3 linked regions of the Rattus norvegicus genome follow. The protein of the gene in region 1 interacts with the protein of each later gene in a pairwise test. Links are inferred from orthologs where the notes say so. Each region holds a gene or a part of one and is shown in the gene's direction. Other genes may lie near its edges. The genes, in order: Dazap2, Batf2 and Bag3.

What was found.
Region 2: the proteins of Dazap2 (region 1) and Batf2 interact in binary tests that used the Homo sapiens proteins (3 or more experiments, as listed by UniProt). The two-hybrid records come from large-scale screens. The link is inferred for Rattus norvegicus from reciprocal best matches to the Homo sapiens genes DAZAP2 and BATF2.
Region 3: the proteins of Dazap2 (region 1) and Bag3 interact in binary tests that used the Homo sapiens proteins (3 or more experiments, as listed by UniProt). The two-hybrid records come from large-scale screens. The link is inferred for Rattus norvegicus from reciprocal best matches to the Homo sapiens genes DAZAP2 and BAG3.

Annotation. Positions count from the first base shown.
Region 1 is NC_086025.1:133,592,594-133,596,344, forward strand, and holds the start of Dazap2 (DAZ-associated protein 2), read left to right. Parts: upstream 1-943; 5' UTR 944-1,053; intron 1,054-1,108; exon of another isoform or gene 1,109-1,177; 5' UTR 1,178-1,342; coding exon 1,343-1,355; intron 1,356-2,503; coding exon 2,504-2,622; intron 2,623-3,307; coding exon 3,308-3,553; intron 3,554-3,751. UniProt on the Homo sapiens protein: In unstressed cells, promotes SIAH1-mediated polyubiquitination and degradation of the serine/threonine-protein kinase HIPK2, probably by acting as a loading factor that potentiates complex formation between HIPK2 and ubiquitin ligase SIAH1.
Region 2 is NC_086019.1:212,903,172-212,906,225, forward strand, and holds the end of Batf2 (basic leucine zipper transcriptional factor ATF-like 2), read left to right. Parts: intron 1-1,305; coding exon 1,306-1,986; 3' UTR 1,987-2,479; downstream 2,480-3,054.
Region 3 is NC_086019.1:192,546,892-192,550,542, forward strand, and holds part of Bag3 (BAG family molecular chaperone regulator 3), read left to right. Parts: intron 1-3,289; coding exon 3,290-3,619; intron 3,620-3,651. UniProt on the Homo sapiens protein: Co-chaperone and adapter protein that connects different classes of molecular chaperones including heat shock proteins 70 (HSP70s), e.g. HSPA1A/HSP70 or HSPA8/HSC70, and small heat shock proteins (sHSPs), e.g. HSPB8.

The DNA of each region.
Region 1 (3,751 bases):
CACACAAGCAAGGCCTTCTTGGTGTTGGACGAATCCAGAATCCGTTCACCGAGGGCCTCTCGCTCCAGAGCCTCTCCGTCTCCTTGAGCGCGCACAACACAACTTCTGCAGACAGCTGCGTCGGTTCCTCACTCTGTGCGTGCCCATGAGGAAACGGGAAAAGTGTAATCACGGTCCTAAGAGACGTCGCCTCTACCCTTCAGGACAACTGGGAGTGGGCTAAGGCACACACAACGTCTGTAGGAGACTACAGGCCCCCTTAGGACGTGCCAGGCCAGGGTCAGCCTGCGCGGGGCACGGTCCATCTCAGGGCAGGAGCTTGATGCGGTGTCATGGTTTGTATCAGGGCGCCAAGCAGGGCGCGGGGACACGGTCTACCTCCGCACGGATCCGGGCGCGGGGGCAAGGTCACCGACCCCGGGCGCTGGACCGTCAATAGGAGGCCTGGAAGAACCGGAACGCGGGACAGGCTAGGATCTGAGGTCCAGAGGTGGCTCAGAGCAAGGGCGCCGCCCTAAGACAAGCCCTCTACGAACTTCAGGGCCCGGTGTGAGGGGTGGGCGGGGCACTGGTGAAGGCGGGGCATGCGGGGAGGAAGGGCTCGCGGTGAGGAGGAGGTGCGCGGTGAGGGCGGGGCCACGCAGGGAGGGCAAGGAGGGCGGGGCTACACGATGAGGGCGGGGAGCGCGGTCAGGGCGGGGCCACGCAGGTATGAGGGGCACGGGGTGAGGTGGGGCCGCGCAGGGAGAGCGGGGACCCCGGGGAGCGTGGGGAGGGCGGAGTCACGCAGGAATGAGGAGCTTGGGGTGAGGGCGGGACCACTCAGGGAGGGCGGAGTCACGCAGGGAGGGCGGGGCATGCGGTGAGGGAGGGGAGCGCGGTTTGGGCGGGGCCGCGCGGGAGAGCGGTGTGGGCGAGGAGGGCGGGGCCACGCAGAGGATAGCGGGCACCGGGTGAGGCGAGGCCGCGCAGGAAGAGCGGGGAACCCGGGGAGCGCGAGGAGGGCGGAGCCACGCAGGAAGGGCAGGGCATGAGTTGAGCCTAAAGCGCGAGGTGAGGGGGAAACCGCGCAGGGAGGGCGGGGCCGCGCGGGAAGGAGCTGCGCGAGGTGAGAGCAGAGCGCGCAGGGAGGGCGGGGCACCCGAGAAAGGCGGGGCTGTAAGCGCCCTCCTTGCAGCGACTGGCGGGCCTGCGAGGGGGCGGGGTTTCCGGCGGCAGTGCACTCGGGCATCGACTGACGCAGAGTGGACGGGCGTCACGTGACACGGAAGTGACTCCGAACAGGAAGAGGACGAGAAAAATAACCGTCCGCGACGCCGAGTGGAAGTGGATTAGAGCCACCATGAACAGCAAAGGCAAGGCCGGGAAGCGGCGGAGGTCGTCGGGGACGCGGGCGGGTTCGGGTCGAGTGGGCCCGGGGGCGGCGGGCTCGGGGCGGTCAGGGCCGCTCTCCTCAGCAGGCCGCGGAGCGGGGCCGCACCTGACGTGTCCGCCCCCCCTCCCCCACACACCGCAGCAACTCGGCTCTCCGGGCCCCGGCCCCATAAACTCTGTGGCGCAGTTTGGAGCCGCGGGCTCCAGTGTGTGAGGTGGGGGTGTTTTTCCGTGACTGACACCGGCTGGAGCGAATGGGGAGCTAGAGCAGGGATTTGGGTAGGCCAATGGAGGACCGGCAGAGGCGGGGCGCCGCGCTTCGGAACAACAGGCCTTGGCCGAGCTTAACTCGTGAGGTGCCGGCTCTGCTGCCCAGTCCCGGCCTTCAAGGATCCTTTCCCGCCTGCCTTCGACTTTTCGCGCTCCCTCCTCAGGGCCAGGATTTATAGTCGTGCCTGTGCTAATGTTTGTCAGACCATGGTCGCGTTTACCTCCCGCCCCCAGCCGCCGCCCTTCTCATGGTTAACTTCCATTCACTCACTCTTTGGAAGTCGACCTTGAGTAGGAACCAACCCGTGAGGTAACACGCAGAACCGTGGGTTCCACAGAGTCTGCACTGGTTACCGCACAGTCCGTGGGAGACTACCCGGACTAGAAGTCCCCCCAAAACACCAGCAATCCAGAATCCCCGGCACGGGTTCTCAGACCTGTCCTTTATTTGGGAGGGAACGGGGCCAAGTTACACTTGATTCCTCCATCAGTATGCTAGTGGGAACAGCGCCTTCTGCCCAGTCAGAACCCAGCACCTTCCACTGTGAGGGTGCAGAGACAATCTTTTATTTTCTTGGCTCTAAGAGCTAAGGCCCTGTGGGGCAATCTGTTTGCAATTCTTCTGCTTGAGCTCACCAAGTTAACTGCCCGTTTTACAAATTTTTTTTATTGTCTGTGAATGTGAGGGTAGGTGCCCACAAAGACAGAAGCTAGAGTTGAAAAGAGGTTGTGTCAGATGTGGATGCTGGGAACAGAACTTGGGTCCTCAGGAAGAGTGGCATTTTGTCAGGAGCATCTTTCCTATTTGCCACCTCCCTAATTTGATAGACAACATCTCTCTTCCCCTTTTGTATTCCAGGTCAATATCCAACACAGCCTACCTACCCTGTGCAGCCTCCTGGGAATCCAGTATATCCTCAGACCTTACATCTTCCTCAGGCTCCACCCTATACTGATGCTCCACCTGCATACTCAGAGGTACTGCACTTTGCTAGACTTTTAACTATTTGAATACACTCTTGGACCCCTCCCCCATTGTTAAATCTTCAAATTCAGAAGCAGAGAATGCTCTATGAACCGTCTAAAACATAAGTTAATAATTACCATTGGAATTGAACGCATTATCTGCTTGTTATTTGACATGCTGAGTTAGGCTGAGTTTGGGTCCCTTGAGCCCAGTAGTAGCTGTGGATGCAAATGACCCAGAAACTGTGTGCCAGTGACAGTAACCAGTGTGATCCACACACACAAGAACTGAGAATGGACTCATGAGCCATGCGTGGTGGTAAGACCAGTAGTCTCAGCACACGGAAGGCTCAGGCAGGAGGAGCTTGAGGTCAAGACTGTCTTGGGCTATAGAACCAAACCCCATTTCCAAAACAAAACAAGGGGCTGGGGATGTAGTTGATTTGGTAGAGTGCTTGCTTAGCATGCACCAAGCCCTGGATTTGGTCTCCAGCCCAATGTGAGCTGGATTTGGTGGTGCAGGCTTTTATTTCCATCAGTCAAGAGGTCAAGGCAGGAGAGTCAGGAGTTGAAGGTCATCCACTCCTACATTCTTGCAGGCTAGCCTGAAGTACAGGAGATGGTCTCAGCAATACTTAGAGGAATTTCAAATACCAGTGTCACAGAAATATTTTGCCTTCTCTTCTGCTTCTTTTAGCTCTATCGTCCAAGCTTTGTTCATCCAGGGGCTGCCACAGTCCCCACCATGTCAGCTGCATTTCCTGGCGCCTCGTTGTATCTGCCTATGGCCCAGTCTGTGGCTGTTGGGCCTTTAGGCTCCACGATCCCCATGGCTTATTACCCAGTTGGTCCCATCTATCCACCTGGCTCGGCAGTGCTGGTGGAAGGAGGGTACGATGCAGGTGCCAGATTTGGAGCTGGTGCCACCACTGGCAGCATTCCTGTGAGTATGCCTAACCAAGAGCTCAGCCCTCGTGCACTTGAACCGTCTGAAATGACTTCATACTCATTCTCCTACCATCCCAGGGTAGTAGTAGTCAGGACTGGCACAGCTGCTGCCCTCTCATGACAGAAATGTGGCTGGGCCAATCAGGGCATTGGGCACAGTCCTTAGAGTTAATCAGATTCATTTGTCTTCTTT
Region 2 (3,054 bases), on another chromosome or scaffold:
TCAGTGGCCCCAAGGACAGAGACCAGGGAAGTCACCATGGTGGGGGAGGGGCCGTAGAAACAGAAAGTGTACTCACAGAGAGGAGAGAGAAGGAAGGAGGGAGGAGACCAAATATCTGGATTATTTAGGGAAGAGGCTCTAGGGGGAAGGGCAGCCTAGCCCCTGGGCTGGAAAGTTCAGGGCAGGCAGTGCCTGGTAGGGCCTGAGGCCTGGGAGAACCGGGAGGCCAGGTCTACTTTGATAGGTAAGAACCCTTGCTACTGAAAGTGATCTCAATCCGGAGGTTTCTACCCTGCGTTTGACCATTCAGTTTCTGGATAAAAGACACAAAACCTTTACATTTATAATAAACCTTAAGGAGCGTAGAGCTGGGCAGATATCTTCCCTCTAGGGTATTTCGTCTAATTTCCTAGCAATAAACCAGAGTTACATGTTGCTGTGTTCCACCTGGGCTGCTATTAATGCCAATTGGCCAGACATCATGGTCATGTTTTGGAATTTCTTACCCCATGGTGTCTTCTGCTCTCTCCACCTTCTCTCTCTCCTCCTTGTGGTCCTCAGAGCCCAAGCCCCGAACACCAAACCCTGCCTGTCTCAATTCTGTCCAGCTACAGGCTGTAGCATCTTTATTCACCAATCAGGGATAACTTGGGGGACAAGGTCACATAGCCTCACTTGGGTCTTGTCCCTGGAGGCACCCAAGGTGGGTGGGGAGTTAGGGGCAGAATTTAGCATCACAATACACAGCAAAAGATCAAAGCTCAGCCTCTCGGGTTTTGCAAGCCCTCCCATCATGCTTTGCAGCTTTGATCTCTAATACCATCTTAAAAAGGCTGGGTGTGTCATTAGAGGCAGAGATAAGCACATCCCAGGAGCTTGCTGGCTAAAACGTCCAGCTTCAGGGTTCTGGAGAGATCCAGACTCAAAGGAATATGAGGCAGAGAGCAAGAGAGGAAGATACCCAGTGTCTTCCTGTTACCTCCTTATTTGTTTATAGTGGCCCCTCCCCAACCAAAGATACAGTCCAAATCCATCAAACAAGGATACTGTGACTGAATGGGCCAATGAAGTGTTGGGTTAGGGATAGGGCAATTCGAAGCCAGGTTGAGATCCCTGGTGAGAAATGGTGCTTCCCAGAAGAGCCATACTGGGCTTTTGTGGCAAGGTCACAGCTCAGTGGGGATGTGGGGTAGAGTACCACAGCCAAGAGCTTCTATCTGGATATTTGTATCCTACAGCAGTGAGAACCCCAGATAGGGTGGTCCTGATGCTGACATCCCTCCCTGCCACCCGTTTCTCCTCCAGCAGCACGAGTCCTTGGAGAAACAAAACCACGCCCTTCGGAAGGAGATCCAGGCCTTGCAGTCTGAGCTGGCAAGATGGGGCCGGACACTGCATCTGCATGAACGACTGTGCGGAGTGGGCTGTGGTCCATGCCCTGCTCTGCTGCCCTCTGGATGCCCAGTCCAGGCCAAGCAACTCTCAGGACAACCTGCCCCTCATGGATACCATGGCTGCCAGGAACAACTGTTCCAGACTCCTGGCTCCTCTCCCCGAGCCCAGCAGCTCTCTCCAGGCCCATGCTATCATGAGTCTCCTGGCCTCCTCCCTTTCCCCCTGCCCTCACTGTCCTCGGACCCTCTCATGGTGAGGACACCTCTAGCCCAGCTATCCCCCAGCCCTGCCCTGTCTGCATTATCATCTGGTTCCAGCCGGCTGGGGTCTTTCTCTAAGTTTGATGCCCTCATACCCAGTCCCCCAGACCAGCTGGTCTCTCCACAGCGCCTCAGGCTGGAGCAGCCCACCAGTGGGAGGCTGGCATCCTCCGACTCTCCAGCTGCTCTAGGACCAGAGCGTCCACAGAACGGAGAGCATTTGCCTACACAGTCTGGCTCCCCGACTCATTGGCAGAAGTCACCTGTGGACCCTAGCCCACAAGCCCTCACAGCCTTCCCCCTGCTCTCTTCTGCAAAAGTCCACTTCTAGCCTATGTCTAGAGAGGGGCTGCCTTACCTGGGTTCCTGAGGTAGCCTGAGCACCCAAGCAGCTCCTCCATTTCCATTCTTCCTGAGTTACTACTGAGTGCCTGCCTACCACTGTGGACCACACAAAGCCATCCTGCCCCTCACCACCACAAAGGATGATGGGAGGACCAAGTGCAAGAACCTTGAACCTGACTGGAGCACGGTCTGTGTCCTTGGCAGCATTCCCAACTCTGCACAGTACCTGTACACTACCGTCGGGCTCTCCCAAAATGGCTCCTTCATGTCTCTTGGGACTACTGGGGCCATGACAGCTAGGAGAGTAAGTAAGATCTCTGAAAGGGTGGTCATTCACAGCAGCCCCAAGTGCCTTGAGCTCTTCACCAGGTTTTCACACATGGAACTGAGTGAGACGGTGTGTCAGAAGTGGACCCACTCCTGCATCAGAGCACACATCTCGGCACATAGGATGGTAAATACAGTTTTCCCCACCTCTTTGCTTTGCCAGGTTGTTGGAGACTGGTTACACTCTTGGCTTAAAAAATATGTATATATATATATATATATATATATATGTACAAACGAACGAACTGAGCGTAGTGGTGCGCTTCTTCAATCCCAGCACTCAGGAGACAGAGGCAGAGGCATCTCTGTGAGTTCCAGGACTGCCTCATCCACATCACTCCATGCCAGCCAGGGTGGTATGGAGAGACTCTGTCTCAAAAAACAAAAAGCCAACAAAATTATGTGTATGAATGGTTTTGCCTGTGTGTGTGTGTGTGTGTGTGTGTGTGTGTGTGTGTGTGCGTGCGTGCGCGCGCGCGCGCGCGCACGCACCGCATGCATACTTGGTCAGAAAAGGTCATCAGATCTCCTGGGAATAGAGTTACAAATGGTTTGAGCCACCAGGTGGGTGCTCAGAATTGAACCTAGGTCCTCTGCAAGAGCAAGTGGTGTTAGCCCTGAGACAATTCCCAGGCGCATACACTCTTAACTGGTAAAACCATGGGGTCTTCAAAAACAAAGAGTAGGCTGGGTGATTGCTCAGTGGATAAACTGCCTTCCCTGCAAG
Region 3 (3,651 bases), on another chromosome or scaffold:
AGTCACACCTGAAATTCTGTACCCTGGTGGCTCAAGCAAGGAGATCAGAAATTTGAGGTCAGCCTGGGCTACATGTGAGACCCTGTCACAAACAGCCTCCCCATGGTTCTACAGGGTGCTTGTGGCCTGTTTTGTTTTATGGAAAAGGAAATGAAGGTTTATAGGGGTAAGGGATTATCCATGCCCACTGTTAATTAATGGTAGTAGAAATAAGCTTGGGTCCTCTGGGTTAGCCTCCCCTGAGGGACAGTCCCCCATATTCCTTGTACCTCAGCCACCCCCGCTTTTCAGGTGTTTCCTGTTTGTCCCAGGCATTGACTTGTCTAGTTTTTGAACAGGGTCTCATGAAGTCCAGGCTGACCTCAAACTCAGTATGTAGCTGGAGATAACCTTGAACTTGTGATCCTCCGGCTGCTACGTACTAAGTGCTGGGATGTACATGTGCACCACTGTGTCTGGTTTCATACGATAGTTGGAGTTGGACCCAGGATGTCCTTGCATGCTAGGTGCGCAGTCTACCAAGTGAGCTACGTCCCCACCCCTTACCTTGTCTTATAAACTCCTTATTTGCAAGGCTCATATCTTGTTGGTTTGATGACCCCTGGGCCTGTCTGAGTAGTAGCTTGATGTTCGCCGGGAACTGTAGGTGAGGCTAGCTCAGACCTACTAAGTGCCCAGCTCTGAAGAGTAGGTAGTGGCTGAGGCTTTGTTCATAGCCAGAACAAACAGCAAACTCCAGGCAGTTCCCCCAAAACATATGACAGCACTGTGCAAAATCTGATTTCAACTGGAAAGAAGGGCCCTGTCCCCAAGTGTAGGCACATTGCGTAGAACATATGTTATGACAGGATTCTTTGTTGTCTCCTGCCATTTCCCTATGGTGCACGTCTCATGGCTAGAACTGGGTTTCTTTTCTCTGTGTGAGGCCTGGATCCACTCCCAGCTCTTGGGTGACCTGAGAGTTGAGCAAGCTAAAATAATGCTGATGTCCTGAGCACGTGGACATTCTAATCTGAGAGTACCAAGTGCCTGTCTGCCCCTCTCCCCAAGGACACAGTGACACCCTTGCCTTTCCTGTGTTTTGGAGGCCCTCCAGGGGTGAGGTCTCAGCAGGAGGTAGGCAGCACATAAGCCTGAAAGGGTTGCATTGCAGGGCCAGCCACCTGGTGTCCAGACCTATACATAAATATAAAACATGGCAGAATTAATGATTATTTTCACTCAAAATGCAAACCAACTCTCAGGGTCTGTCCTTAACCTTTGCCCAGTTCAGCAGCTGGAGAAATTAACACTCTGGACTCACAGATTCCCAGCTTTTGACATTTGTTTGCCATTTGGAGAGCTACCTCACTAAAGAAGGCTTACTCTCCTAAACACCAGCCTAGTCAGATATCCCCTCGTCTGTGAGAGGACTCCTGTTCAGGAGACAGTTGGAGGCTGAGTGCACAGCCTCTGGTTGGAGAGATATGTCATTGCCCAGTGAATGGCTGACTGGCCTCGGTGTCTGAAATAAGATCTGCCCAGAGGTACATCTGGAACTTGGCCTTCTCAAGGGTCCCAAAATAGCCAGGCCTCTAAAGGAACAACTTCATGAGAGGACACAAGAAGGACCCCCCAACTGTTCTTGGCCTAAACAGGGTTTATTGTATTGAAGGGGGAGAGGCTCTGTGACTCTTCCTTCGAGTCAAGGAAAAGTTTACTGGAACCACTGAGACAGAATACTGCTGCTAGTGTAAGGAGAGGAGCTCAGCTCCCTGTTGAGCACAGACAAAGCACAGTGTGGGACGTGTGGATAGTATTTAAAGGGAAAAACTGATCAAAGGCAAAAGGGGTTCTAACCAAGCTAACCTAACGGGATTCTGACAAGCCAAGGGCGGTGGACAGACATCTGGGGAGGATGGGAGGTGGATAGAGCTGGGGTGTCCATGATGGTGGGCTTGGAATAAGGGGTTCTGGTTGACTTGATTTAGCTGCTCTTTTGCAATAGCTGGATTTTACAAGGAAACACACAGATGGGCCTAGGAGAAAGCCCAGTAGCCTTGCTGTAAAGTTTAGCCAGGCGGAGACTCTTAGGAGTTGGCCGTCTAAGACTGGCACGCGTAATCCCTGGGCTTTGTTCTCTTCTTACACCACTTCTGCATTCCAGGGTATCTCCCTTTCTTGCAGCTTGTTCTAAAAATAATTCCAAGGAGCTAGCCTCTGAAACACACACACACACACACACACACACACACACACACACACACACACACAGAGAGAGAGAGAGAGAGAGAGAGAGAGAGAGAGAGAGAAGAGAGAGAGCACAACACAGAGAACAGAGCACCCAGAAAGCACATACAACACACAAAACAGGGCACAGACAACACACACAGCACACACATAGCACATAAATGACACACACACACAAAGCACATACAACACACAAAACAGGGCACAGACAACACACACAGCACACACATAGCACATAAATGACACACACACACAAAGCACATACAACACACAAAACAGGGCACAGACAACACACACAGAGCATACACAACACAGAACAGAGCACTCAAACACACACAACACAGCACAGACAGCTACAGCGTGCGTGCGCACACATGCTCGCGCCGCACTCACACACACACACACACACACACACACACACACACACACACACACACACAGAGCACATAGAACACACAGAACGGAGCACAGACAACACACACACAGCACACAAACACACATGCTTTTCCAGAAGGAAGTTTGCTGCTGACGTTTAGTAACTGGAGTTGAGTCTTCCAGGGATCACTGGCTTCAGTCTCTGAAGATGTGCAGGGGCCATTGGCCACTGTCTGCTGTCTACACTGCCGTCAACCAGAAAAAAGAAACACCTGTCTCACCACTGTGGGAAGCAAACCTCTCTTGTACTTCAAACTGATACTTTGACTTCTTGGTGTGCCCGGCGACAGGTTTTATTATATAACCCTGACCAGCCAGCCTGGAACTCACTTTGTAGACCAGAACGGCCTCAGAGTCACAGAAACCCACCCGCTTCTACTTCTCAGTCCTGGGATTAAAGGCATGACCACCATTCCCTGTCCCCCTAAATCTTAAAGTGTCGCTCACACAGTAGACTGGAAATCTGGAGAAAGCAGAGACAGTGAAGAGTTCTGGTCCCCTGTGCTCAGCTAGCTTGGTTGAACTGTGAGGCCCAAGTCATTCAGGAAGATCAGAGCCCCTCAGCACCACCCTCCTTCTCAGCCCTGTTTTTAACCAGTCTTTGTTTCTCCTTCCTTCACGTTAGGAAACTGCATCATCTGCCAACGGCCCTTCCCGTGATGGCTCCAGGCTGCTGCCCGCTAGGGAAGGCCACCCCATATACCCCCAGCTCCGACCAGGTTACATTCCCATTCCCGTCCACCATGAAGGCTCGGAAAACCGGCAGCCGCACCTTTTCCATGCCTACTCCCAGCCTGGGGTGCAGCGATTTCGAACCGAGGCAGCAGCCGCCGCCCCGCAGAGGTCCCAGTCTCCTTTGCGTGGGGGCGTGACAGAAACCACTCAGACAGATAAACAGTGTGGACAGGTGCCGGCAGCTGCAACAGCCCAGCCCCCGACTGCCCACGGACCTGAGGTAAGAGACCCAGTTCATGCTGGGCCAGAAAC